3 linked regions of the Kluyveromyces lactis genome follow. The protein of the gene in region 1 binds, or shares a complex with, the protein of each later gene. Links are inferred from orthologs where the notes say so. Each region holds a gene or a part of one and is shown in the gene's direction. Other genes may lie near its edges.

What was found. Proteins that work in one complex are often made in the same cells at the same time.
Region 2: the proteins of COX1 (region 1) and COX8 are in contact, whole or in part, in a cryo-EM structure (PDB 6T0B), measured with the Saccharomyces cerevisiae proteins. The link is inferred for Kluyveromyces lactis from reciprocal best matches to the Saccharomyces cerevisiae genes COX1 and COX8. Residues at the interface, in NP_009305.1 of Saccharomyces cerevisiae: Met1, Gln3, Arg4, Trp5, Val16, Leu17, Met20, Ile23, Phe24, Met27, Ala28, Ala31, Met32, Leu34, Ile35, Leu48, His49, Asn51, Leu54, Leu58, Thr117, Leu118, Val119, Glu120, Ser121, Gly122, Leu401, Gly402, Leu403, Phe466; in NP_013499.1 of Saccharomyces cerevisiae: Val28, His29, Phe30, Lys31, Asp32, Gly33, Val34, Tyr35, Glu36, Asn37, Ile38, Pro39, Phe40, Val42, Lys43, Tyr49, Ala50, His53, Phe54, Phe56, Phe57, Ile59, Gly60, Phe61, Val63, Pro64, Phe65, Ala67, Cys68, Val70.
Region 3: the proteins of COX1 (region 1) and COX6 are in contact, whole or in part, in a cryo-EM structure (PDB 8DH6), measured with the Saccharomyces cerevisiae proteins. The link is inferred for Kluyveromyces lactis from reciprocal best matches to the Saccharomyces cerevisiae genes COX1 and COX6. Residues at the interface, in NP_009305.1 of Saccharomyces cerevisiae: Asp496, Phe497, Val498, Glu499, Ser500, Ile503, Leu506, Asn507; in NP_011918.1 of Saccharomyces cerevisiae: Leu66, Phe67, Gln70, Leu73, Asn74, Arg106, Glu109, Ala110, Tyr113.

What each region holds. Positions count from the first base shown.
Region 1 is NC_006077.1:27,699-39,010, reverse strand, and holds the start of COX1 (cytochrome c oxidase subunit 1), read left to right. Parts: upstream 1-5,277; coding exon 5,278-5,986; intron 5,987-7,526; coding exon 7,527-7,788; exon of another isoform or gene 7,789-7,789; intron 7,790-9,249; coding exon 9,250-9,385; exon of another isoform or gene 9,386-9,386; intron 9,387-9,388; coding exon of another isoform or gene 9,389-10,579; intron 10,580-11,023; coding exon 11,024-11,312. Other genes in the region: COX3 (cytochrome c oxidase subunit 3), read right to left, coding at 1-472; VAR1 (ribosomal small subunit protein), read left to right, coding at 1,206-2,372; COX2 (cytochrome c oxidase subunit 2), read left to right, coding at 3,305-4,075. UniProt on the Saccharomyces cerevisiae protein: Component of the cytochrome c oxidase, the last enzyme in the mitochondrial electron transport chain which drives oxidative phosphorylation.
Region 2 is NC_006038.1:298,844-305,710, forward strand, and holds COX8 (cytochrome c oxidase subunit VIII), read left to right. Parts: upstream 1-1,746; coding exon 1,747-1,968; downstream 1,969-6,867. Other genes in the region: COX9 (cytochrome c oxidase subunit VIIa), read right to left, coding at 534-716; SUMO ligase CST9, read right to left, coding at 2,693-3,637; isocitrate dehydrogenase (NADP(+)) IDP1, read left to right, coding at 4,601-5,890; DPM1 (dolichyl-phosphate beta-D-mannosyltransferase), read left to right, coding at 6,480-6,867. UniProt on the Saccharomyces cerevisiae protein: Component of the cytochrome c oxidase, the last enzyme in the mitochondrial electron transport chain which drives oxidative phosphorylation.
Region 3 is NC_006042.1:2,031,722-2,039,029, reverse strand, and holds COX6 (cytochrome c oxidase subunit VI), read left to right. Parts: upstream 1-1,965; coding exon 1,966-2,409; downstream 2,410-7,308. Other genes in the region: ELF1 (Elf1p), read right to left, coding at 3,347-3,862; CIC1 (Cic1p), read left to right, coding at 4,765-5,895; KLLA0_F21824g (transcription activator GCR1-like domain-containing protein), read left to right, coding at 6,481-7,308. UniProt on the Saccharomyces cerevisiae protein: Component of the cytochrome c oxidase, the last enzyme in the mitochondrial electron transport chain which drives oxidative phosphorylation.

The sequences.
Region 1 (11,312 bases):
CATGATGACTATATGTAATAGTAGCACCTGAAGATAATAAGATAATAGTATTTAATAAAGGTAATTCTGTAGGTTGTACAGCTTGAATACCAACTGGAGGTCATACACCACCTAATTCAATATTAGGGCTCATAGCTGAATGGAAATAAGCTCAGAATAATGCAGCGAAAATTAAAATTTCTGATACTACGAATAATAAGAAACCTAAATTAATACCTTTTCTAACAGCAATTGTATGATCTCCTAAATATGTTGCTTCAGCAATAATATCTCTAAATCATAATGTAGCACTTAATGTTACTGTTAAAATTGATAAATAAATTAAATACATATGTCCAATATATCCATGCATAGTTAAAGCTAATGATAATGCTAATGACATTAATGCAAATGATACTACAATTGGTCATGGTGATGGAGCTACTAAATGAAAGGGAAATTGTTGATGTCTACTTCTTTCTAAATGTGTCATAAATATTTTTATAATCTATACATTTATAAATTTAAATGTTAATTTAATTTATAGAAATAATATTACTTAATATATATATATAATATATATATATATGATAATATTTATATTTTAATATAATTATTATTATATTATACTTACTTATAAACCCCATTGCGGACTCCCCCCCCCCCGAAGGGAGGAGTCCGCAATGGGGAAAAGTTAATTATGAAAACTATTTATATATAGTATATTATTAGTAATATTAAATATATATCTAGTATCGCCAAATACCCCTATAATAGGGGTATTTGGCGATTAATAATTATATTATTATATATAATAGATCTATATAAATAAATACAATTCCCCGGACGCCTCGTCCGACCCTACGGTCGGACGATGGCGTCCGGGGTTTATATATCGATTCCCCCCAATCTCATAATATGAGATTGGGGGGGGGGGAAATAAAATAGATTATCTCTTTAATAATAATTATAAATAGAATATATTATCTTACCCCGCGGATCCTCTACTGGTATTACCAGTAGAGGATCCGCGGGAATTTATCTCTTTCCCGCGATATCATCATATGATGATATCGCGGAATATACATAATTTATAAAATATATAATAAATATTTTATTTTATATTTATAAGTAGTAAATATAATAAACATGTTAAATTTTTTAATAATTTAATAATAATATATATATAGTTTTATATATATATATTATACGATCAATATATATAAATAAATATAAATACAATGAATAAACATACAACAAATTTAAATATTATTAAAAATATTAATAATATAAACAATTTAAATTCTATAAAAGAATTATTATTATTATTAAATAATAAAAGATTAAATAGATCTTTAAATAAAACTTATATTTGAGATTATTTAAATGAATTAAGTAATAAAGGTGTAAAATTACAACATTTAAATAATATTAATTCTTGATCATCTCAAATTTATAAATTTAATAAAACTGAAGAAATTAATAATACTATTTATGATAGATTAGTAACTAAATTATTAACAAAATTATTAGTATTAAATATTAATAATAAAATTTATAAATTAATTATTTCTAAACCTATCTTTGAACATAGTATTAATAAAGTTAATATTAAATTTTTCTATTATTTATCATATAAAAATATTAATAAAAATATTAATAATAACAATAATTTAATTAATAATATTTATAGTAATTATAAATTTAATATTAATAGTAAATTAATTAATTTATTAAATAATAACATTAATAGTATTAGTAATATTTTATCATTATATTATAATAAAGATGTATCATTTGAACCTATTCAATTAAAATATAATTATATGAATAGTGATATTTTAGCTAAATCATTAAAAATTATGAATTCATCTTCTAAAAGAAGTTTATCAATGAATAGAATTAAAAATTTAATGAATAATATGCCTAAATTAAATGATAAATTAATTAGTCAAACATATATTAATAATATTAATAATATTATGTTTAATAAATATAATAATATTATTAAATCAATTAATAATAATAATAATAATAACCCCGCGGACTCCTCTCCTGGTAATCCCAGGGGAGGAGCCGCGGGGAAATTATATAATATTATTTATGAAAATAATAATATTAATACTATCCCTAATAATATTTTAATGTTTAAATATTTAGTAGGATGATCAATTCAATTAAAAGGTAGATTATCTAATAATAAATCTATTTCTAGATCTAATACAATGAATATTTTAAATGGTACATTCCAAAACTATAAATATATTTGAGGTAATCAAATGGTTAATAATTATAAATTAAATTATATCCCTGTTAACCATAATATTACTAATATTTCTGATGTTAATAAAAATGGTAAATATAATATTAAAGTTAAATTAAATACTATTTAATTTATTAATTAATAATAATAAATAAATAATCAATATTCTTCCCCCACGCGGCATTACCCTAGGGTAATGCCGCGTGGGGCTTCTTTCTTTATATTATAATTATATAATTATATAATATATAATAAATTAATATATACATATAATCCCCCCTTCATATTATATGAAGGGGGGGGTAAAAATATAAATATTTTATAATATATAATAAATTAATATATATCTTTCCCGCGTTCTCCTTACTATTTCCTTAAGGACCTCTAAATACTAATAAAAATTAATTTTATATTATTAATTTTATATATAAATAAATATATAATATACATTTTCCCGCGGGGTATAATACTTATTATTAGTATTAATAATTTATTTATTTATTTATTTATTTATTTATTAATTTATTTATAATACTTTTCCCGCGGACTTATTCCCTGGAATTCCAGGGAATAAGCCGCGGGGTGTATAAATAATTTTATATACTCTTCTCCCGGGGACTCCTTCCCATAAGGTGTATACCTGGGAAGAGTCCCCGGAGTTAATATAATTAATAAACCCCACCCCCTTTAAGGGGGGTGGGGAGGAATACGCAATTGGGGGAATTTATAATAATTATTATATAATATTATTATATAGATATAAGTAAGTATAATATTATTATAATAATAATAATAGAGATTAGCTTAATTGGCAGAGCATTCGTTTTACACGCGAAGGACATGAGTTCAAATCTCGTATCTCTAATATATATTAAATATATCAATTAAAATATAAAAATTTAATAATAATATATCAATATACTTATTTAATATTATTATAATTATTTATAATAATTTATTATTAATAAGTTTTTTTCCTAATTGCGAACTCATCAAAACATTAGTTGGATGAGTTCGCGGGAGAATAATATATTAATCAATGTAATATCTAATATATAGAATATATATAGATTAAAAAAAATTATAAATATGTTTTATTTATTAAATTCAATTATTATGAATGATGTACCTACACCTTATGGTATGTATTTCCAAGATTCAGCTACACCTAATCAAGAAGGTATTTTAGAATTACATGATAATATTATGTTCTATTTATTTATTATTTTAGGATTAGTATCATGATTATTATTTACAATTGTAAGAACTTATAGTAAAAATCCTATTGCTTATAAATATATTAAACATGGTCAAACTATTGAAATTATTTGAACAATTTTCCCTGCTGTAATTTTATTAATTATTGCTTTCCCTTCATTCATTTTATTATATTTATGTGATGAAGTTATTTCTCCAGCAATGACTATTAAAGCTATTGGTTTACAATGATATTGAAAATATGAATACTCAGATTTCATTAATGATAATGGTGAAACAGTAGAATTTGAATCATATGTTATTCCTGAAGATTTATTAGAAGATGGTCAATTAAGATTATTAGATACTGATACTTCAGTAGTAGTACCTGTTGATACACATATTAGATTTGTTGTTACAGCAGCTGATGTTATTCATGATTTTGCTGTACCTAGTTTAGGTATTAAAATTGATGCAGCTCCTGGTAGATTAAATCAAGTATCAGCTTTAATTCAAAGAGAAGGTGTATTCTATGGACAATGTTCAGAAATTTGTGGACAATCACATTCAGCTATGCCTATTAAAATTGAAGCAGTTTCATTACCAGCATTCTTAGAATGATTAAATGAACAATAATTATATAATTTATAATTAATAAATTATATATAATAATATTCTTTCCCTGCAAACCCTACAATATTATTAGGGGTTTCCCCACGGTCACCTTCCCGACCCACAAGGAGACGGGGATTCTTACTTATTTTATATCCCGCGGATTCATGTTATGAATCCGCGGAATTATTATATTATATTATATTATATTATATTATATTTTTAAATATAATAATAATTATATATAAATAAGAGTATAAAAATAATTTATTGATCTCATGCTATACTCCCCCCCCTTCCTGTCGCACACGATTGGTGCGCAGATATTGAAGGGGGGGAGTAGGGAGTAATAAATTTAGGATAACCATTATTATAATAATTAATTATTATAATAATATTTTTCCCCCGCGGTCTCTCACCCTACGAATGTAGGGTGATGAGCCGCGGGGTAATTCTTATTTATTATATATTATAATATTAATAATAAACCCCCGCGGACTCCTTTAAAGGAGTCCGCGGGAAAAGTATTATCCGCGCCTCATCCATTATAAAGGATGAGGCGCGGATTAATATACATATATATATTTTAATATAATTATATATTATATTTATTTATAATATTATTATTTATTATATAAAATAATACTAATGAGGGGGGCTTATTTCCCACCATATGGTGGGAAATAAGCCCTACCTAATATATTTATTTATTTTTTATTATTAATATAATTAGAATAATATTTTTCTTTAAGAGGCTTATTATATATTAATAGAATAATTATTCCGACTATTCACATAATATCTATTAAATTAATTAATATAACCCCCGCGGTTCCTCCCCACCCCTTTAAGGGGGGGGTGAAACCGCGGGGAAATGTATATTTTTACCGATCTGCATAGTAAATTGGTAAATTTATATATTTTTATATATATAAATTATATATAAGTAAGATAAAACTTATTTATCCCCCGCGCTCCCTTCCCATCCCATAAAGGGATGGGAAGGAGCGCGGGGGTCAAGAATTTATCTATAATTATATAATTATAATAATAATTATATATAACTAATTAATTAATTAATAATAAAAAACATAATGTATATTACATACTAATCCCGCGGCTCCCCCCCCCCTTCAGGGGGGGAGCCGCGGGTAAATATAACTAATAATAATAGTTTATTATATTATATATTTTAAATATAATATAATAATTATAAAAATAAATTAATGATCGAAAGATGATTATATTCTACAAATGCTAAAGATATTGCTGTTTTATACTTTATCTTTGCTATTTTCTGTGGTATGGCAGGTACTGCCATGTCTTTAATCATTAGATTAGAGTTAGCCGCACCAGGTAATCAAGTTTTAAGCGGAAATCATCAATTATTTAATGTCTTAGTAGTTGGGCATGCGGTCTTAATAATTTTCTTCTTAGTAATGCCGGCATTAATTGGTGGTTTTGGTAACTATATGTTACCTTTATTAATTGGAGCATCAGATATGTCTTTTGCAAGATTAAATAATATTTCATTCTGATGTTTACCACCTGCTTTAGTATGTTTAGTAACTTCTACATTAGTAGAATCTGGTGCAGGTACTGGATGAACTGTATATCCTCCATTATCATCAATTCAAGCACATTCAGGACCTAGTGTTGATTTAGCAATTTTTGCTTTACATTTAACATCTATTTCATCATTATTAGGTGCTATTAATTTCATTGTAACAACATTAAATATGAGAACAAATGGTATGACAATGCATAGATTACCATTATTTGTATGATCTATTTTCATTACAGCATTCTTATTATTATTATCATTACCTGTATTATCAGCAGGTGTTACAATGTTATTATTAGATAGAAACTTCAATACTTCATTCTTCGAAGTAGCAGGTGGTGGTGACCCTGTTTTATACCAACATTTGTTTTCTATGCCATTTTATATAGTAATTTATGATTATAAATATAATATTAATTTATGATTATCTTCATTTAAAAATTTAGAATTTAATCAAGATAAATTTTATTTTGATGAATTTAATTTAAAATATAAAGAATTTAAACCTATAAATTCTGTTCCTGATCAAAAATTTTTAGAATGATTTGTAGGATTTTTTGAAGGTAAAGGTTCATTTATTTTAATAAAAAGAAGTGATATTTCTGTTGTTGTAACTTCTAAAGATATAAAAATTTTAAATTATATTAAAAATAATTTTAATATAGGAGATGTAATTTTACAATCTAAAAAAGATATAACATATAGATGAGTAGTACATAAAAGAAGAGATATTTATTTATTATCATTAATTTTTAATGGTAATTTAGTATTACCTACTAGATATGGTAAATTTATAATTTTTTTAGCTAAATTAAATGAAAAATTATTAAAAAATAATGAACCTATAATTATTTTAAAAAATTATTGTAAATTACCTACTTTAAATGATTATTGATTATCTGGATTTACTGATGCTGAAGGTTGTTTTGATATTTCTTTAAAAGATAATAAAAATACACCTAGATTTTTATATGCATTAAGTCAAAAACATATTGTTAATAAATATGTATTAGAACATATTTTAAATTTATTTATTGATAAATCTAATACTAATTCATTATATAACATTAATAGTGAAAAAAATATTGGTAAAGTTTATTCTAATTCTAAAGATGATAATTGACAATTATGAATTTCAGGATTAAATAATTGTATTTTTATTTTAAATTATTTTAAAGAATATCCTTTATTATCTGATAAATCTAATAGTTTAGATAAATTTATTCATGTAATAAATTATTATAAACAAAATAAACCTTTAAATGAAGAACAAAAATTATATATTAAAAAAATATCTAAACCCTGCGCGACATCACCCGACCCTCATAAAGGGTTGGGTGAGTCGCGCAGGGAATTAATTAATAAATAATCATATTTTATTAGTATAAATAAAAAATATTGAAACAAAGGAAATAGTTTAACTTAAGTTAATTAGAAAAGATATAACAATGTTGATATGAAAAATAAAAAGATTATATCTCTCTTAATATATATATATAAATTAAGAGACTAAATATTTATTATTCTCTTATTCGGACACCATCCAAGGGATTTACCTTTTTTAATACCCCCCCCATATCTTCTTCCCAGCTAAGCTGATAAGAAGATATGGGGAGAAGAGATAAATATACTATTTTCTAGTATTATATATATATTATATAATGCAACATTGGTGGTACGGTCAACAATTTCTCAGATTTAGACCGTCGGTTATAATATATATAATTATATATTCTGATCGCTACAGACTGCTTCACCAATGGGTGATATAATAATATTGCTTAATGTACAGTCGGAATCACTTATTAATAATAAGGTCATATATTATATATGAGATATATATTATAGAGTCTACCCGTGCTATTATCAAAAATAATATTTGGGGAAAAGATAATATATTATTTAGATTTGGATTCTTTGGTCACCCCGAAGTTTATATTTTAATTATTCCTGGATTCGGTATTATTTCACATATCGTATCAACTTATTCTAAAAAACCAGTATTCGGTGAAGTATCAATGGTATATGCTATGGCTTCAATTGGATTATTAGGTTTCTTAGTATGATCACATCATATGTATATTGTAGGATTAGATGCAGATACTAGAGCTTATTTCACATCGGCTACAATGATTATTGCAATTCCTACAGGTATTAAAATTTTCTCATGATTAATAAACTCCTTTAGCAAGAGTATTAAGTTGATCAAAAAATATATAAAATATATATATATTAATAATAATCATAATAATAATAATAATAATAATAATCCCCGCGGTCAGTCACCGGTTATCGGTAACATGACCGCGGGGATAAATAAGATTTATAATAATAATTCTTATAATTCTTATAATAATAATAATAATTATTATAATAAAAAATTAACAATTTATGGTACTAATTTATATTCAAATTTAATAAATAAAGAATATAATAATACTATAATAATTAAATATATAATTAAAATTCCAAATAATATTATATATATAATTAATGGAATTTTATTAACAGATGGTTGAATTGAATATAGTTCAAAAAATACATTAATTAATAGTAGATTAAAATTTAAACAAACTTTAAAACAAGTAGAATATGTTTTATATGTATATAATAAATTAAATCATTATTGTGTAAGTCCTCCAAAATTAATTAAAACACCCCGCGGCTCCTCCCCTGGTAATCCCAGGGGAGGAGTCCGCGGGGAAAGATTAAAAGGTAAAATTTATTATGGAGTTGAAATAACTACTATAGCTTTACCTTGTTTTACTAAATTAAGACATCATTTTTATAATGGTAGAGTAAAAATTATACCAAATGATTTATATGATTTATTAAATTATGAATCATTAGCTCATATTATTATAGGAGATGGTTCATTTAATAAAGGTGGAGGTATTACATTAAATTTACAATCATATACTATTAAAGAATTAATTTATTTTATTAATATTTTAAAAATTAAATTTAATTTAGATTGTACTTTACATAAACATAAATCATATTATGTTATTTATATTAAAGTTAAATCTATTAAATTATTATATCCTAATATTAAAAATTATATTATTCCATCTATAAAATATAAATTTGAATATAAATTATTACAAAAATATGATAAATATAATAATAAATAATATAATCCCGCGGATTCATAATATGAATCCGCGGGGTAATATATATAATCTATATAATATATATATAATTTATATATTAAGAAGCAAACTCGAGAGAAATCCTATATATATAAATTAGAATTTATATAGGGCAATCGTCGAACTAAATTATATATAAGAAATTATATATATAAAAGCGTAGAGATCAGATGCTTCTGGTATTTCTAAGTAATATATTCCCCGCAAAATATTTCCTGCAGGAAATATTTTGCGGGTCTATTATATGAATACATAAGGAATGATCCAATGGAACTAGTAATAGTTTTGAAGCAATCCTTCAAATAATATATATATGTATTATATATATATTATCCTAATATATATAGTTACCCAATATCCTCCAAATATTTGGAGGATATTGGGATTAATAATAAATAATTATATATAAATTTAACTAGCTATTATAATATTTATTATAAATATTATAAATGAATCTGTGATGATTTAAGGTTAAAAATAAGAGCAACAATTTATGGTGGATCAATTAGATTAGCTGTACCTATGTTATATGCTATTGCTTTCTTATTCTTATTCACAATTGGTGGATTAACAGGAGTAGCATTAGCAAATGCATCATTAGATGTAGCATTCCATGATAAAATAAATATTATAATTATTATATTATATATTTCATATATTTATACTTATCCCTTCTCTAATGGGAAATACTGTAATTTATATAATCCTACCACATTTTATAAAATTAATAATATTTTATACTCTATTAAAATATATAATATTAATAATAATACTAATAATACTAATAATAATAACCCCGCGGACTCATCATCCTACGAAAGTAGAATGAGAGCCGCGGGGAATAGTAATAGTAATAGTAATAGTAATAGTGATAGTAATATTAATAATACTAATAATATTAATAATACTAATAATATTTATAATATTAATAATAATATTAATAATAATAATAATATTAATAATAATTATATTAATAATAGTATTCCCTGCGGTTCATATCCACAAGGAAGATGAACCGCAGGGTCAGAATTCTATAAAATGTTATTTGTAGGATTATTTGATAGTAATGGTAATATTCAAATTAATAAATATAAATCTAAATATTTACAATTTAGATTAATTATTAAATTAAATAATAATAAAGAGAATATTAATATATTAAATAATATTAAACATTATTTAAAAGGTAATATTAATATTAATAATAATTATGTAATATGAATTATAAATGATATAAAAAATATTAATAATTTAATTAAATTATTTAATAAATATCCATTAATAACTATAAATAAAAAATTACAATTAGCATTTATAAAATCTATATATTATATTTATAAAAATAATAGAAATTTAGCAATAAATTTATATTTAAAAGATAGAAATAATAAATATAATCCTAATTTATATAAATATTATAAAGATATAAATTATACTAAAATTAATTATTTTTCCCCCGCGAACTTCCATAAAAAGTTCGCGGGAATTAATATTAATATTAATATTAATAATAATTATAATCATAATTATATTAATGTATGATTTTTAGGTTTTATTGAAAATAAAGGTAAATTTATTATTAGAAAGAATAATAATAATTCATTTTTATTTTATATAAATGATAAACATTTAATAGAATTCTTAAAAAATTATTTTAATATTAAGAATAAATTAATATATAAAAATAATATATATATTTTAGAGGTATATAATAAATATTATATTAATATATTTATTAAATTTTTTAATAAATATAATTTACAAGGTTATAAATATATTGAATATATTAAATGAAAAAAAATAAATATTTAAAGTGTCATGTAGTAAATTCACTATCTTAATTATCTTTATACCCCCCCCCCCAACACCTATAAGGTGTTGGGGGGGGAATGATATATTAAGGGTTATATTTTTTTTTAATAAATATAGCTAACGAAGAAATCTTATATAAATAAATTTAATGTAATTTATATACTACAATTATATAAGACAATTTCGTGGTAACCATTATTATATTTTATATAATAATGGGAACTGTAGAGACTATACGTGAATAATAATATATAATTATCAATATATATATAATATATATAATATGTATTATATTTCCCGCGAATTTCCCTTAAAGTGGAATTCGCGGGATACATATATTGGTTATATATTATTAAGACATAGTCCAATCCTTTATGTAAATAAAGAATATAAACCCCGGACGGCATCGTCCGACCGTATGGTCGGACGAGCCGTCCGGGGAAGACTTATTATGTAGTAGGACATTTCCATTATGTATTATCAATGGGTGCTATTTTCTCATTATTTGCAGGATATTATTACTGAAGTCCTCAAATTTTAGGATTATATTATAATGAAAAATTAGCACAAATTCAATTCTGATTAATTTTTGTAGGAGCTAATGTTATTTTCTTACCTATGCATTTCTTAGGAGTAAATGGTATGCCTAGAAGAATTCCTGATTATCCTGATGCTTTTGCAGGTTGAAATTATGTAGCTTCAATTGGTTCAATTATTGCTGTATTCTCATTAT
Region 2 (6,867 bases), on another chromosome or scaffold:
TAGCGTAAGGTTCTATCGAATCTCTTAGGAATTACTTCCAGCGATAAGGTAACAAACCAGAGAGTATTCCTATTTGCAAAATAAGATTGTTTAACAGAGACAATCACCTTCTTTGGAAATCGACAAAAGGTCACATGAAATCCTTAAGTCTTTGTTTAGTAACTCCTCCAAGAAAAAACAAACAGTCGAGATGCGGTATTGCTTCCACTCATGAATAATAATACTGATAGGAGAAGAAGTCATAATATGAGAACGTATTAGCATGATAAAAGGGTACCGAATAAAAAAAAATACCATTAATGATTTTTAACCAATAATTCATCAGAATGACTGTTAATCTGTGTATGTGTTGACATAAATAGAGAAATAAAAGGTTGTGGGATGTTATAGTAACGATAGGTAATTGGGAGGAAAAAAAGGATCGAATACAATTCTCCGTATTATGGACACAGAGGTTTCAAACCTCATGGCCGCACACGAATATGTTGATTTAGATAGAAAAACACAAAGTATTGCGTTTTTTTATTCAGTCCTTAGTTTTCAGCAGCCTTTTGTTCAGCCAACTTAGCGTAGTAAGCTTCTCTCTTGTTGATGATGTTCTTGTGGAAACCCCACCACCAATAGGAAGCCATAGCACCACCAATAGCGAAACCGATGGTGATATCGGCCAAGATTCTCTTTCTAATAGTACCAGTGATTGGAGCAATTGCAGACATTATTCTTTGATGTGAAGTGAGAGTGATTGATGTGAGATGAACAAACCGTTAAGGATAGCAACAGCTAATGAAAAAGGCTAAAGTCAACACTAAGAGGGGACAGAGGAAAGATATACAAAGTACTAATCAAATATCAAAATTTCAAGAAGTAAAAGAAAATCAGAAAAACCATACGACTAAAGTAAAGAACCGAAGACAGTTAGAAAAAAAATTAACCAAAACCTGTAATGGATAGTAGAGCCAGGTAAGTTTATTTCAATTTTTTTTAATTTTTAAAGTTTCTCGATTTTTCAAGCTGTCACCAAGAGGGAATTGACATTCAGAACTCCAGTAATACCGAGTCATACTGTAGTGTGGATTTTCAAGACAATATCTGATTGAGACTCTCAGTAGGTTCCGGTAGAACCTACTATCGGTTGCCCATCAATATAGCCAAGAGAGAGGTATCGCTTTTCTTCCTCTAATACTGACAGCACCGGATTGGCAAAGAGGGAAGATTTCCCGTCAGAGAAACTCTGGGGCAGCCATTGATCGCAGGTCATGTGCCTCTTATCATCTTAGTGTAGTTAGTACAAGTAGACAAGAAAGGATCTCGCGTTAAAACCGAAATTCCCATTAGCCAATGATATCCCAGGATTCGACGTGAGTGTGTCTGTATTCAGAAAAATATGTACACGGGGAAATCACGTTCCACGAAGACACAGCAGAGCTTTGCTTTAAGAGTGAAAGTCGGAAATCTTACACCATTACCCGGATACTCCGTTTGTGTCTCACTACTTTCTGAGCCGTTTTCCCACTTCTGTCAATTTTTTTTGTTATTGCACGACTTTTTCCTAATCCTGTTTCTCTTCTTAGCAGCGATAGAAAGGTAAAAAAAATATATCGTATTATTTTTTTTTTCATATTTCAATACAATTAGCACTGCAATTTACAACTCTTGTTAAGGATGGTTTATAGTTTATTGTTGATATTAATAACTTTGTTTCGATAACCTAGCGTCCAATACCACAGCAAATATTCCAATCAAAACATGTTTTCCCAAGTTACCAGACTAGCCACCAGAAGAGCCTTCTCTGCCACTTCCAAGCAATGTGGTGCCCACTTCAAGGAAGGTGTTTACTCGAACATCCCAGTTAAGATTCACAACAGAAAGATCCCATACGCTTTCATCCACTTCGGTTTCTTTGCTCTAGGTTTTGCTGTTCCATTCATCTCTTCTTACGTGCAATTGAAGAAGTTTGGTGCTTTCTAAATGAGTGGATAGAAATAAATTTCCTGCCCTCTTTGTTATATCGTATCCTTTCACAATAATTTTCGTTTTATTTTCATGTCATCATTGCTACACATTCCATCCATCTGCAAATGTCCGCACTATTGCAGCCAGCCGGCGAACATATTCTATTCTATTACTTGATGAATAATGAATAGTCAGTCCGAGGTTTAAAGAAAATACCAAGCACATCACAATAACCAAAACCAGACAGCAAAATAGAATATTACTCAACTCTTCATTTCACATTTATTTATCTCTCGAGAGTGATGTATACCTGCACTCGTCGAAATCAAAAACTAAAGCAACGGTTCGAAGCAATCTGAAGCTAAAGTTGAAATTAGTGACTTCATCGACACTTTGACGAGACTCATGCAAACAAAAAATCACAAACAGATAACAAAGGAATTAACATTATCATACTCCTGGACCGTTCGTGAGATCTAATAATAATCTTAAAAGAAAAATAGCACAAGAGATAAGTGGATTTGGAATCAAGTTTCACCGGGAGTCTTCAATCGTTTCCCTCATTTTTTTCTATCTTCCGACTATCAGCTCAAAGAAATACTATATTATCAACATGAAATACTGTCAGAAACATCATTTATTTTTATCAATATGTTTAAATTTAAACGTATAGGTCTTTAATTAACAGAAATTCAAAAAACGTCAAAATCAGCTTATTTATCAACTGACAAATATTTAATCATTTCTTAAATTTATTGTTTCTCGATTGTGCCGTGGTGTTATTCCTCGACGGGAATCCCGTTGTAGTTTGAGAAGAGTTAATCCTCATATGTGATAATATTCCCCTTGATGATATCGTTGAAGTGCTACTTCTTTTCAATTTCAATCTTTCCAATGCATTCGGTAATGCTTTCGTGACTCCTTGTCGTGAGTTTGATCTGGCGCCGAACGTGTTATTAATGTTAGAACCGCTTTTATTGTTCATTGAAATTGGTGTTGTTGGGGAATGCGGTACCAATATTGGTGCCGTTCTTCCAATTGACGTAGATTCAGCAAGAACGTGTGAAATATTTGGAGATTCGTTTCCATCATCTGAAGTTGTCCGTGAAGGTTTCAATCGGTGAGAGTTTTGTAGTTTACTGATGAACGACTCTTGATTATCACGCTCAATCCCATCCTTTGCGTTTATTAAATTTCTGGAGTCATTTCTAGTAACCATCGATATGACGTCTCTGTTGGTGTCCTTCATTCTTAATTCCTTCTTCAAAGCAGTAAACTTGTCTAATTCTTCCTTTGCCTGGTACAACAGCTGTCGTTGTCTGTTACACTTTTCCTGTAACTTCAGACACATATCTTGATAGTATTCACATAATTGCACCATTGACTCCCACTGGAAATTAGCTACTGTGTATAATGGTTCCAGTTGTGATACAAAGGGTTTAAAGAACGATTGCACTTCTGTCGGTAGTTTGGAACTATCACCATCTAACGGAAGTACTGATATTCTACTCGTCGTGCACACGGGACAAACCGTCATTCCATTATGGTAATGCTTATCACAAAGGATATGAGCACATGATGTGAGCCAGAACTTTCCATTGCTTGTTCCTTGCTGGTTGTTATACGGTTTATGGCATTGGGAACAGTTTACCCATATCTGATTCAAATCAACTGGCGGAGACATTAGACTCAAATGGGAAGAGAGGTTGTACTACTAACTTAGTTTTGGAAGTATTTAACTGAGGGTTTGGTCAGTTTCAAGAAATGATACAAACAATGGCTGTATTGTAAGAAATATACAATTAGCCGCCGAAATCAATTTCCCAAACCCAACGAGAAAAAATGTCACCCGGAAACAGAAGAAATACATCACAAACCACGTGACACTAAGGAAGTCACGTGGTGTACGGATTAATTCCCGCTATCATCTCCAGTATTGCTGACATGATCATTGGGTATATAGGAGGGAAGACGCACGCTACAAATCCAAAGCCAATGCCAAAACCAGTCCCTGACTCATGGCCGGCTCAGGCCCTGCCTTCGCGTCCTACCAAACACCCAATTCATATCACCGATTAACCACCACTACTGGAAAAGTACGAAGCTTTCGCTGTCTATCCTGAATCCCGAGTTGATCCGGTTTTTTTCTCGTCTCACAAAGCCTAACCGTCGCATTGGTAACGAAGTTCCCCACGACAAATTAGCAAAAGCGCCCCAAAACAGAGCCCAAAACGGCGACTTACTAGCAAATAAACAAATTTCGGGCAGTTTACTACCCCCAAAATTATTGCATCAATCGTGGCTCTGAAATATTACAAACCCGCTACTTCCATGTTCGGTAACCTTCTCATTGCAACTACAAAAGTACTGCGATTGCCATTGCCCTAAGTAAGTTATATGAATGACTCTTCTATCATTTCTATTATAGCTATTCGCTTTATTTTTCTATCACTGCTTTGAGAAGGATATTTTGGCTTTTAACTGTGATTAGTGATGAGGTTAAGTCTATTATATATATATGCATGTATATTTGCGTCTCTGCGCTATAAAGTTTCTGTATCCTTATAACTTTAGGTCAGGTTAAGGTTGGTATATTCGACGGTTGTTGTATACTGAGCTAAATTGAATTAGGACAGGACAGGACACTATGAAGGCCGCAGTGATGAGTATTAATCGTCAGTTTTCCAGCTCTGCTGCAACTGGGTTGCGCAAGATTAAAGTTCAGACTCCCGTTGTGGAGTTGGACGGTGATGAGATGACTAGAATTATCTGGGATAAGATTAAGAGTAAACTTATCTTACCATATTTGGATGTGGATTTGAAGTATTACGATCTTTCCGTGACGAACCGTGATGCCACTAACGATCAAGTTACTGTGGATTCTGCTAATGCCATCAAGAAATACGGTGTTGGTGTGAAATGTGCCACTATTACACCGGACGAGGGTCGTGTTAAAGAGTTCAATTTGAAAAAGATGTGGAAATCACCAAATGGTACCATCAGAAACATCCTTGGTGGTACTGTTTTCCGTGAACCAATTGTCATTCCTAGAATCCCAAGATTAGTGCCTGGATGGGAAAAACCTATTGTCATCGGTAGACATGCCCATGGTGATCAATATAAGGCCACCGATCTTGTCGTTCCAGGTCCTGGTAAGTTGGAATTGGTTTACAAGCCAACTGATGGATCCGAGACCAAGACTTTGGAAGTTTACGACTACAAGGGTCCTGGTATCGCTTTGGCCATGTACAACACAGACGAATCCATCCGTGGATTCGCTCATGCCTCTTTCAAATTGGCTATCACCAAGAAATTGAACCTTTATCTTTCCACCAAGAACACTATCTTGAAGAAATACGATGGTAGATTCAAGGATATCTTCCAGGAAATTTACGATTCCGAGTATAAATCCGAATTTGAAAAGTTGGGTATCTGGTACGAACACCGTTTAATTGACGATATGGTTGCCCAAATGATCAAATCTAAGGGTGGATTCATCCTTGCGTTTAAGAACTATGATGGTGATGTCCAATCCGATATCGTTGCTCAAGGGTTCGGGTCCCTTGGTTTGATGACCTCTGTTCTAGTGACCCCAGACGGTAAGGCCTTCGAAAGTGAAGCTGCTCACGGTACCGTCACTAGACACTACAGACAATACCAACAGGGTAAAGAAACCTCAACAAACTCCATCGCTTCCATCTTCGCTTGGACTAGAGGTTTGGCCAAGAGAGGTGAACTAGACAACACTCCAGAAGTCGTCGAATTTGCCAACTTGTTGGAAAAATCCACTTTGAACACTGTCCAAGAAGACGGTATCATGACCAAAGATTTGGCCCTTGCCTGTGGTAACACTGACAGATCAAGTTATGTGAACACCGACGAATTCTTGGATGCTGTTGAAAAGAGATTCAGAAATGACGTTAAATCTCTGCAGTGAAAATGCTTTCAAGAACAGGAGAGTACGTCGATGAATAAGATTACACACATATATGGGCTCTTTTCTTAATAGTAATATTTCTATATAAAACATATAAACGCACAAATAACTACACTAATCCCTCTCTATCCCAAATACCTATTAGAAGTTTCCTTGCAGACTACGGTAGCATAATCCTAAATTGTCGTTCGTTCTATGAATAATAGCTTCTCTTGTCGCTGTCCTAGTAATTTCATTACCCTGCCTCTGTCACATGTACCAGGCTCACACACCTCATTTTTCACCCGATGTTGTCTGTCCTTCCTCAAGTCCAAAAATCGAAAGTGGACAACATGTTCAATATTTTAACAGTTACAAAAGAGAAACATATAAAGAAACATGCCTGACAATTCTTGTAGTTAATACTTGAAGTATTGTTTTTGTTTAGTTGTATTAGAGTACCCAGTCGAGCTTTGTTAGCAAATCACACGCTGTTATATTTTCTTTGGGGAAACAGGAACCTTTTGACTGCTATTATCTATAACTAATAAAGACCGGATATATTTATACCAATTGCTCAAGAAATAAACATAAGATTATACTATAAGAAATGTCTATTGAAAACTCTGTTGTTGTTCCAGCGTACCACGAAAAGCTAAATATCAAGCCATTGACCACCAGGTTATTCCAAGCCTTGGGTAAAGAAGGTTCCAATATCACTGAATTGATCTTCGTCGATGACAATTCCCAGGACGGTTCTGTGGAAGAAGTTGAGGCTTTGAAGAAGCAAGGTTACAACGTCAGAATCATCGTCAGAACCGACGAAAGAGGTCTTTCTTCCGCTGTCTTGAAGGGTTTCCATGAAGCCAAGGGTGAATATTTGGTTTGCATGGATGCGGACTTGCAACATCCACCAGAAAGTGTTCCACAATTGTTGGATTCTTTGAGAACACATCCATTCGTGTTGGGTACCAGATACGCTGCTGGTGTCGGTATCG
Region 3 (7,308 bases), on another chromosome or scaffold:
TCTGAACACACCTCATCTCATGCATTAGTGATTTTCTGTTTCAATATTTTTTTCAATATTTCACTGTAAAGATCGATTCACTTTCTTCAGTAACTACGTAATCTACTACTTACATATACTAAGTGTTTACTTAGACATGCACAAATAGCGGCGAACTTTGGTTACACTCACACTGAATACACTTCTTTGGAATGGCAACGTATGATGATTTTGCTACTGATACTGTAATAATAACGTCAAAGACAAAGGACGTGTGCTCCAAGCCCTTGTTTGATGAGATCGTAAATAAGGTGCAAGAATGTGTGGTGGATACTCGACAGATTTACGGTGCGGATGCCGTGCGTGTCATTACACTTCCTGGATTCAAGAGAATATTGGTAACATCGCCTAATATTGAGGCGAGCCGTGAAGTGAAATCCTTGAACCCATTATTCCCTGATTGTAAATTTGGGTTCTCCATCACGAATCACGTGGCTGAATCGAATTCACAAGCTGGATTTCCACACGCTGGCGCTGACACTGTGATGAATCACCTTAAAGTTCCCCCTGCCCAGACATTATTTCTAGTGTCTCCGCCAGCGTCACCTCCTCCGGGATTTGATTACTCTAGGCTTGAAGAATGGCCTAATCGTAACACGGGACATGAAGAGGCTGGTGCAGGTATCGACGATGATTCAAAACCTGCTGTTCGAAAAGTGTTTGACAATGGACATACCCGAATAATAGTTGAGGGGTCTACAAACTCTGAACCAAACCATACGGCTTTGATGCAACATATCAAGACCGCGATGCCACCTATCTCAACGTTTGACGATATAGAGGATTAACTATCGCGTTTAGAGACATAATAACCCGCAGTTTTCTGCGGAGATGAGGGATCGAACAGGGGAACCTGCCTACCGAGAAAAAAAAAACCTTTGAAACCACGCGACTTCCGGGTAATTGTATTTGTATTGAAGTCACGTTCTCCCGCTGTCCTATTACCCGACTATGTGGTAAAAATCATCGGTGACGAACCAATCATATGCCAATACGTTCTCCTTCCCCACAAACAAGACACCCTACAGAACGGTCGGACCAGTCTCAATCAATGCCCATTACCCCCCAGCATATTTCACGAATGTGTTTTATTGGATTCTATAGATACTGCTTGTGGGGTTTATTATCACGGACTTATTATCTTGTTTTATAGGACATTATTTCGAAGATTATGAGAGTTAAGGTTTCATTTCCTTTGAACATGAGATCTTTAATCTGACATCGCTCGACTGAAAAATGACAGGCAGCAGAAAGTCAAGAAATACTCAATTCAAATAATTAAAATCGAACTAGATAAACGACTTGCTCGTAAGTACCACATGTAGGATTTTTTGGAGTGTGAACTTTTGTTGCAACTCTGCCGATGAATTATGTTAGCCCTCTTTTTTTCTTCCATCCATTTTCCATAGACACACTATTTAAAAAACTGATAATACCACTTTTTTGTAAACTACTAAGAAGATGATGCATACAAAGAATAAGATACAATAAAAGTTGTTTCGAATGGAACGACTCACTCGAGGTTCAAATTTGTGCTATTCGTTTCGCAAGTTATTACTCTTACTTTCCTTTTAACAATCTCGTTTTTATCTAGTTCAAAGACGTAGCTATCCACTAGTTTAAGTATTTGAACTGTTTGTTGATATTTGTCCTATGCGATTTTAAGTATTTAATTTTTTTTTTTTCATTCTTCATTACTTCAAATTTTTAAAAAAACTCCAGAGAAAATTATCGGTCGATTTACCTTTTACCTAACCTATTTGATATATCTTTAAAGCGTTTTACATTAAGTTTTAATTACAATAGAACTCGACTTTGAATCTTTTGTGAATACGGTTTGTTATAATTCCTTTTAGAATAGCTATTTGATCATCTTAATACAGTGAATCAAATCCAAATCCCGAATCAACCAATACAAAGAAAAATATGTTGTCCAGAACTTTGTTGAGAGCTGCTATGCCAGTAAGAGCCGTTGCTCCGGTTATGATGAGAGCTGCTGTTGCCCCAAGAGTTGGTCAATTACAATCTCAATTTGTTTCTATCAGAAAGTACTCCGATGCACACGAAGAAGAAACCTTTGAAGAATTCACCGCCAGATACGAAAAGGAATTCGAAGAGGCTTACGATTTATTCGAAGTCCAAAGAGTGTTGAATAACTGTTTCTCTTACGATTTGGTTCCAGCCCCAGCTGTTATCGAAAAGGCCTTGAGAGCCGCCAGAAAGGTTAACGACTTGCCAACTGCTGTCAGAGTGTTCGAAGCCTTGAGATACAAAGTTGAAAACGAAGATCAATACAAGGCTTACTTGGATGAATTGAAGGATGTTAGAGAAGAATTGGGAATTCCTTTGAAGGAGGAATTGTTCCAATAAGTGCATATAGAAGAACATTTAATCTAAAGTCACCGGCTTTATCATCTTCTCCCATACTATTTTCACTTTTTGAGAACCTTTCACTAGGAAGGAAAGAACAATACTTATCCACAACACCAACAACCAAATGAAACCAAAATAAATATCATCAAAAACTATATTTACGAACGTGTCCCATCCTATGACACCATATATTCTTGTCACACATTTGTTTGTTTGAGGAGGTTTTTTTGGTGCTGACTACTGGTAGTAGCAGATACGAAGACATTATTTATTTGCCAGGACATATACAGAACCGTGAATACAAACCTTCAAGAAACATTTACAAACAATTCAAATAAAATCAAGATTATTATTATTATTATTATTATCATCATCATCACAATTATTATAATTATATATATGTTATACTGACTAAATTATAAGGAAAAGTAGTTATATATCAAACAAACAGCTATTAACATACGCGTTTAGTCTATTTAGCGGTAGACAGAAAAATGTGCTCTTTTGTTTTCACTTGATCGTATGTTAGGTTATTGCACCGTTACGAGCAGAAGTAATTTTATCTTGTTTGAATTCATACAACTGAAGTTTTCGAGTTTTGTTATCTCGTGTATCACCATCTAGTTCAGAAATAATGCCACATTACTGAGAAGTTCGATATACCAAAGATACTATTATTGATGTAGAATTGATATATAAATTCTTCTGCAGTACAAACTGAATACTATCAACCGATGGTTAAAGCCAAGGTGAGCGTTATATAAATTCTTATAGGAAACAGATAAGATCCAGCAATCTCTTTGAACGTAAATATCAGCTCCTTTATACCTGATTTTATTCGTTCTACTAGTATATCTCTGGGTAATATATAGATAGATAGATACAATTGTAAGATTAATATTGGTGTTCGATGTCTGTGTTTCTGTCGGTTCGACTACTCGTCATCACTGTCCATCCATGCTGCTCTTCCTCTTTTGTTAGATATTTTACCGTCATCGTCTGAGTCTGATTCTGGTTCTGAGTCTTTTCGTTCGGTCGCTCCTTTTCTTCCGTAATCCGCATCTTCGTCTTCTTCTTGTTCTTCTTCTTCTTCTTCGTCAGAATCTATTCCAACAGCTTTTCTACGGTTTGAAGAAGGCTCAGTATCAGAGTCACTCTCGTAGTCACTGTCACTGTTTTCATCTTCAGATTCGCTATGTTTCCCTTCGTTAACTTCCTCAACCGCATCAAACCAGTCACTATATACATCTACCGGTTGTGATAGACCATTAATGCGGGTTTGGAACGATTGTCCACAAATCTTACAATGAAGCGAGCCAATGTTATTCTTTTTGTCCATTGTTACGCTCACAGAGCGTTCGTGATTACAGAAGAGACAATTGAATGCCGTATCTAACCTCTGTACTATCTTCTTGGCTGGACCTCTGGATGACTTCTTTCTCTTACCCATGTCTAATGCTCTTCTTATTTGTCTTGTGAGAGCGTATGCTTACCCCTGCGGCTAGATTTGATTAATATATGCTAATATGCCTTTTGCAGTATAAATGAACGGGGACGATGACTATGTTTACGATATAATAATAATAATAATAATAATAGCAACTTAATAACTCATAAATCAGATTCGTGCGGCGTATTCTCTGTTAAGGTATCCTTTATATCGATCGTGAGTCCTGTTTGACAGCCGAAAAAACCTAACTCAAAAATAGTACTGTTCCGAAATAAACCAGAGAAAGAAACCCTAAAATACACAGTTTAAGCCCTTTTGTATTGTAACCCCATTCACTGAACGTAGCCCGTTGCTCATTAGTAACTTTTGCACAAACACGCACCGAGATTCAATATCAGATTCGGTTACTCTTTATTTCTTAAGTGTCAAATGTTATCAAATTTCAAGAAAAGTTTCAAATCATATATTACGGCCTTCGCTTTCAAAAAGCAATATTTACTAACTACGTGAACACAGTGGAGCTCCTGCGAAACAGAAAATTTTTATTTTTGACAATAGAGAGCTCATCTCATCATAGCTCATCTCATCTCATCTCGAAGTATGTTGCACACCTAACACGATTAATAAAGTAATGGTATGTAAAGTATTTAAGTACCTATTCTTATTTCTCAGCTCAAAGGATTGATTAGATATATACTGGATATTTCATAGTTGCCAGTACGAACTCGAGAAGTAAGCTTACCTAGGTGAACCAACAATTTGTTGATCTTTTTCTGAGACAGTGCGAATCAAGTAAGTTAAAAAACGCTTGGAAAGAATCCAGAATATAGAGGAAATAACTCCACTCATCCAGTCTAGTATATCTACAAGCACATTATAAGCAATATCAAAGTTTAGATAATATGGCAACTAAAACTAAGAAAAGCAAGGTTTCGACCAAAGCCACCAAGGCTACTAAGGGCAGTAAAGAGGAAGAAGTCATTCCAGTTAACAGAGTTAACAATGCTGTTATTAAATTGCAAGAATATTTGAAGGAAAATGGATCAAATGACAATCAGTTAATTGATGATTCTGAATTGGAGGCTCAGCTACAGTTGATCCTAGTCAACACTGAATCTTTTACTGGTTCTTTGAAAAACTTCAAACCAAAACTAATTACAGTTCCTCATTCTATCTTCAAGCCATGGAAGGAAGCTAGCACCACCATGGTTAAAGATTTCAAGACTCTTTTGATTCTAAAAGATTCTGATATCAATTCAGTGACATCAGAAGACTTGATCGATCTACTTCCAGAACATATTACTATTGATGCCATCATATCTGGTAAAGATTTGAAGACAAAATACAAGGCTTTTGAAAAGAGGCGTGCATTTGTACAGGATTTTTCTTTCATTCTAGCTGATGACTCGATAGTGACAGCTTTGCCCAAGCTATTAGGTGGTAAAGCATACAGTAAGTTGAATACCACTCCAATTGCCATTAACACAAGATCGGATAACAAGTTTAACAAGACAACTTTGGTAAATAGCATCAAGAGAATTTATGATACTAAAATCCCAGTCAAACTTCCAAGAGGTAACACGATGAATGTTCATCTAGGTTCATTGGAATGGTTCACCCCAGAACAATTGACTGAAAATATCATTTCTGTCGCTAAACAGTTCATCGAAAAGTACAATATCAGAACCATTCTTCTCAAATCTAACGAATCACCAGTCCTTCCATTATACGTTAATTTGGAAGTATTAGACAAATTGGTTGGGTCCAGACATGATGCTAAGACTTCCGTTCAAAATGTCATAGAAATTGATGGTGTCGAATTGCAACTATCACAATTTGAGAAATCTTTGTTAGAAATTGCAAATCCAGACGAACTAGACTCCTTGTTTGCTACGCAAATTAAGCAAGCCAAAAGAAACTTGGAAGAGGTCGAGGCAGAAGAAGAGCAAGAAGAACAAAAGAAAGAGCAAACGAAAGAACAAAAATCCAGCGCTAAAAGACAAAAGACAAAGAATAAAAACGTAAAAAATTAGAGGTACAGGAGTATCGCGTTTTTTTTCATTCCTCTTTCTTAATTTCTATCCTTCACAAATATCGTCTTAAAACTTACCCATTTAGCATAGATTTAACGGCTGTCACCGCTCCTACAATGATAGTTTTCCCTACAAAATGTATTTAATCTGTACTCAAATTTTCCAGATAGCATCGATACTTTGCAATTCATAAAAGAATAACAGTAGTTAAATTCAGTGCGTTTTCGAACCAGCAGGAAAACGTTATTCCTAGTATTGTTTGGATGGTGCAAACCCATCGCCGCTCGAACAACTTTTCTGATGTGCCACATTTAGGTTTGCTGGTTTTTCTGTGTGGACTGGTGCGTCCATGCAGTCAGTGAAGGAAAAGGAAAAACGAAAAATAAAAGTGTCACAAAAAGATTTAATTACTATATTAAACATATGTCAAATATTATATAAACCACAGATTTCACAAACTTTCACATCATCACCTCTGTTATTCGTGCTTATTCGTAGTTTAGTATATACACTATTATTTACATCTGAATCAATTAGTATTTTCAAGTTTTGATTGCATTGCGAAGACGCCGAGAATCAAATGAGATGCCACAGAATATTGAACGAATAATTCATACATTCCAAAGCAGAGTAGACACTTTACAAACTGATTGGAACGTTTTATGCGACGCAGTGTGTAATAGCAAGTGTCAAAGTGTCAATGGTCAAATTGCCCTGTTAAAATCTAAGTTAGATTTAATACAACAACAGCATACTGGGATTATTGTTGATTTAGGAATCATTAAAACACATCTTTTAGCTCATGATTTGGATATGAATAACCAGTTTTTAACCGAGGAACAAGAAGTGGATTTTGACGTAAATAAAGAGAATGAAGATCCTCTACCTCTACTTGGAATTGATGAGACTGAAGCTGACATTTCGGAAGGGCCAAAAGTTTTCAAAGAAGAATTTAAAAATGAAATTCTTTTCAGTAGTCTCAGCAGAGAAGCGGAGAACGCATCGCGAGAAATGCCATCAAGGTACAAGGTAGCGAAATCACAACACTCGAGCAAAATCAGACCTCTCGGCGCAAAAGATCTGAACAATGTTGAGAACTATCACCTTATAATGACAGATTGTCCCAAAAGCGTCCATGACCTTTACCACGAGTTTTATACAGATACAAAGCTTCAGATCTTGCATTTCGAGGAGAAACATGGTGCAGGTCAATTGTCTAAATTACCCAAGTTGAGAACTTATCAGCGCCGCAGCGCATTGGTGAATGCTATCAACAAATATGCAAAGGGCAAAAATATAACCGTTGAGCAATCCATCGAACACTTCCAAGGTATTGTTGAGGAAAATGATAAAACCATACCATGGTTATATAATAATTTAGCCAAAATTTTGGAACAGTATGGTATTGTACAA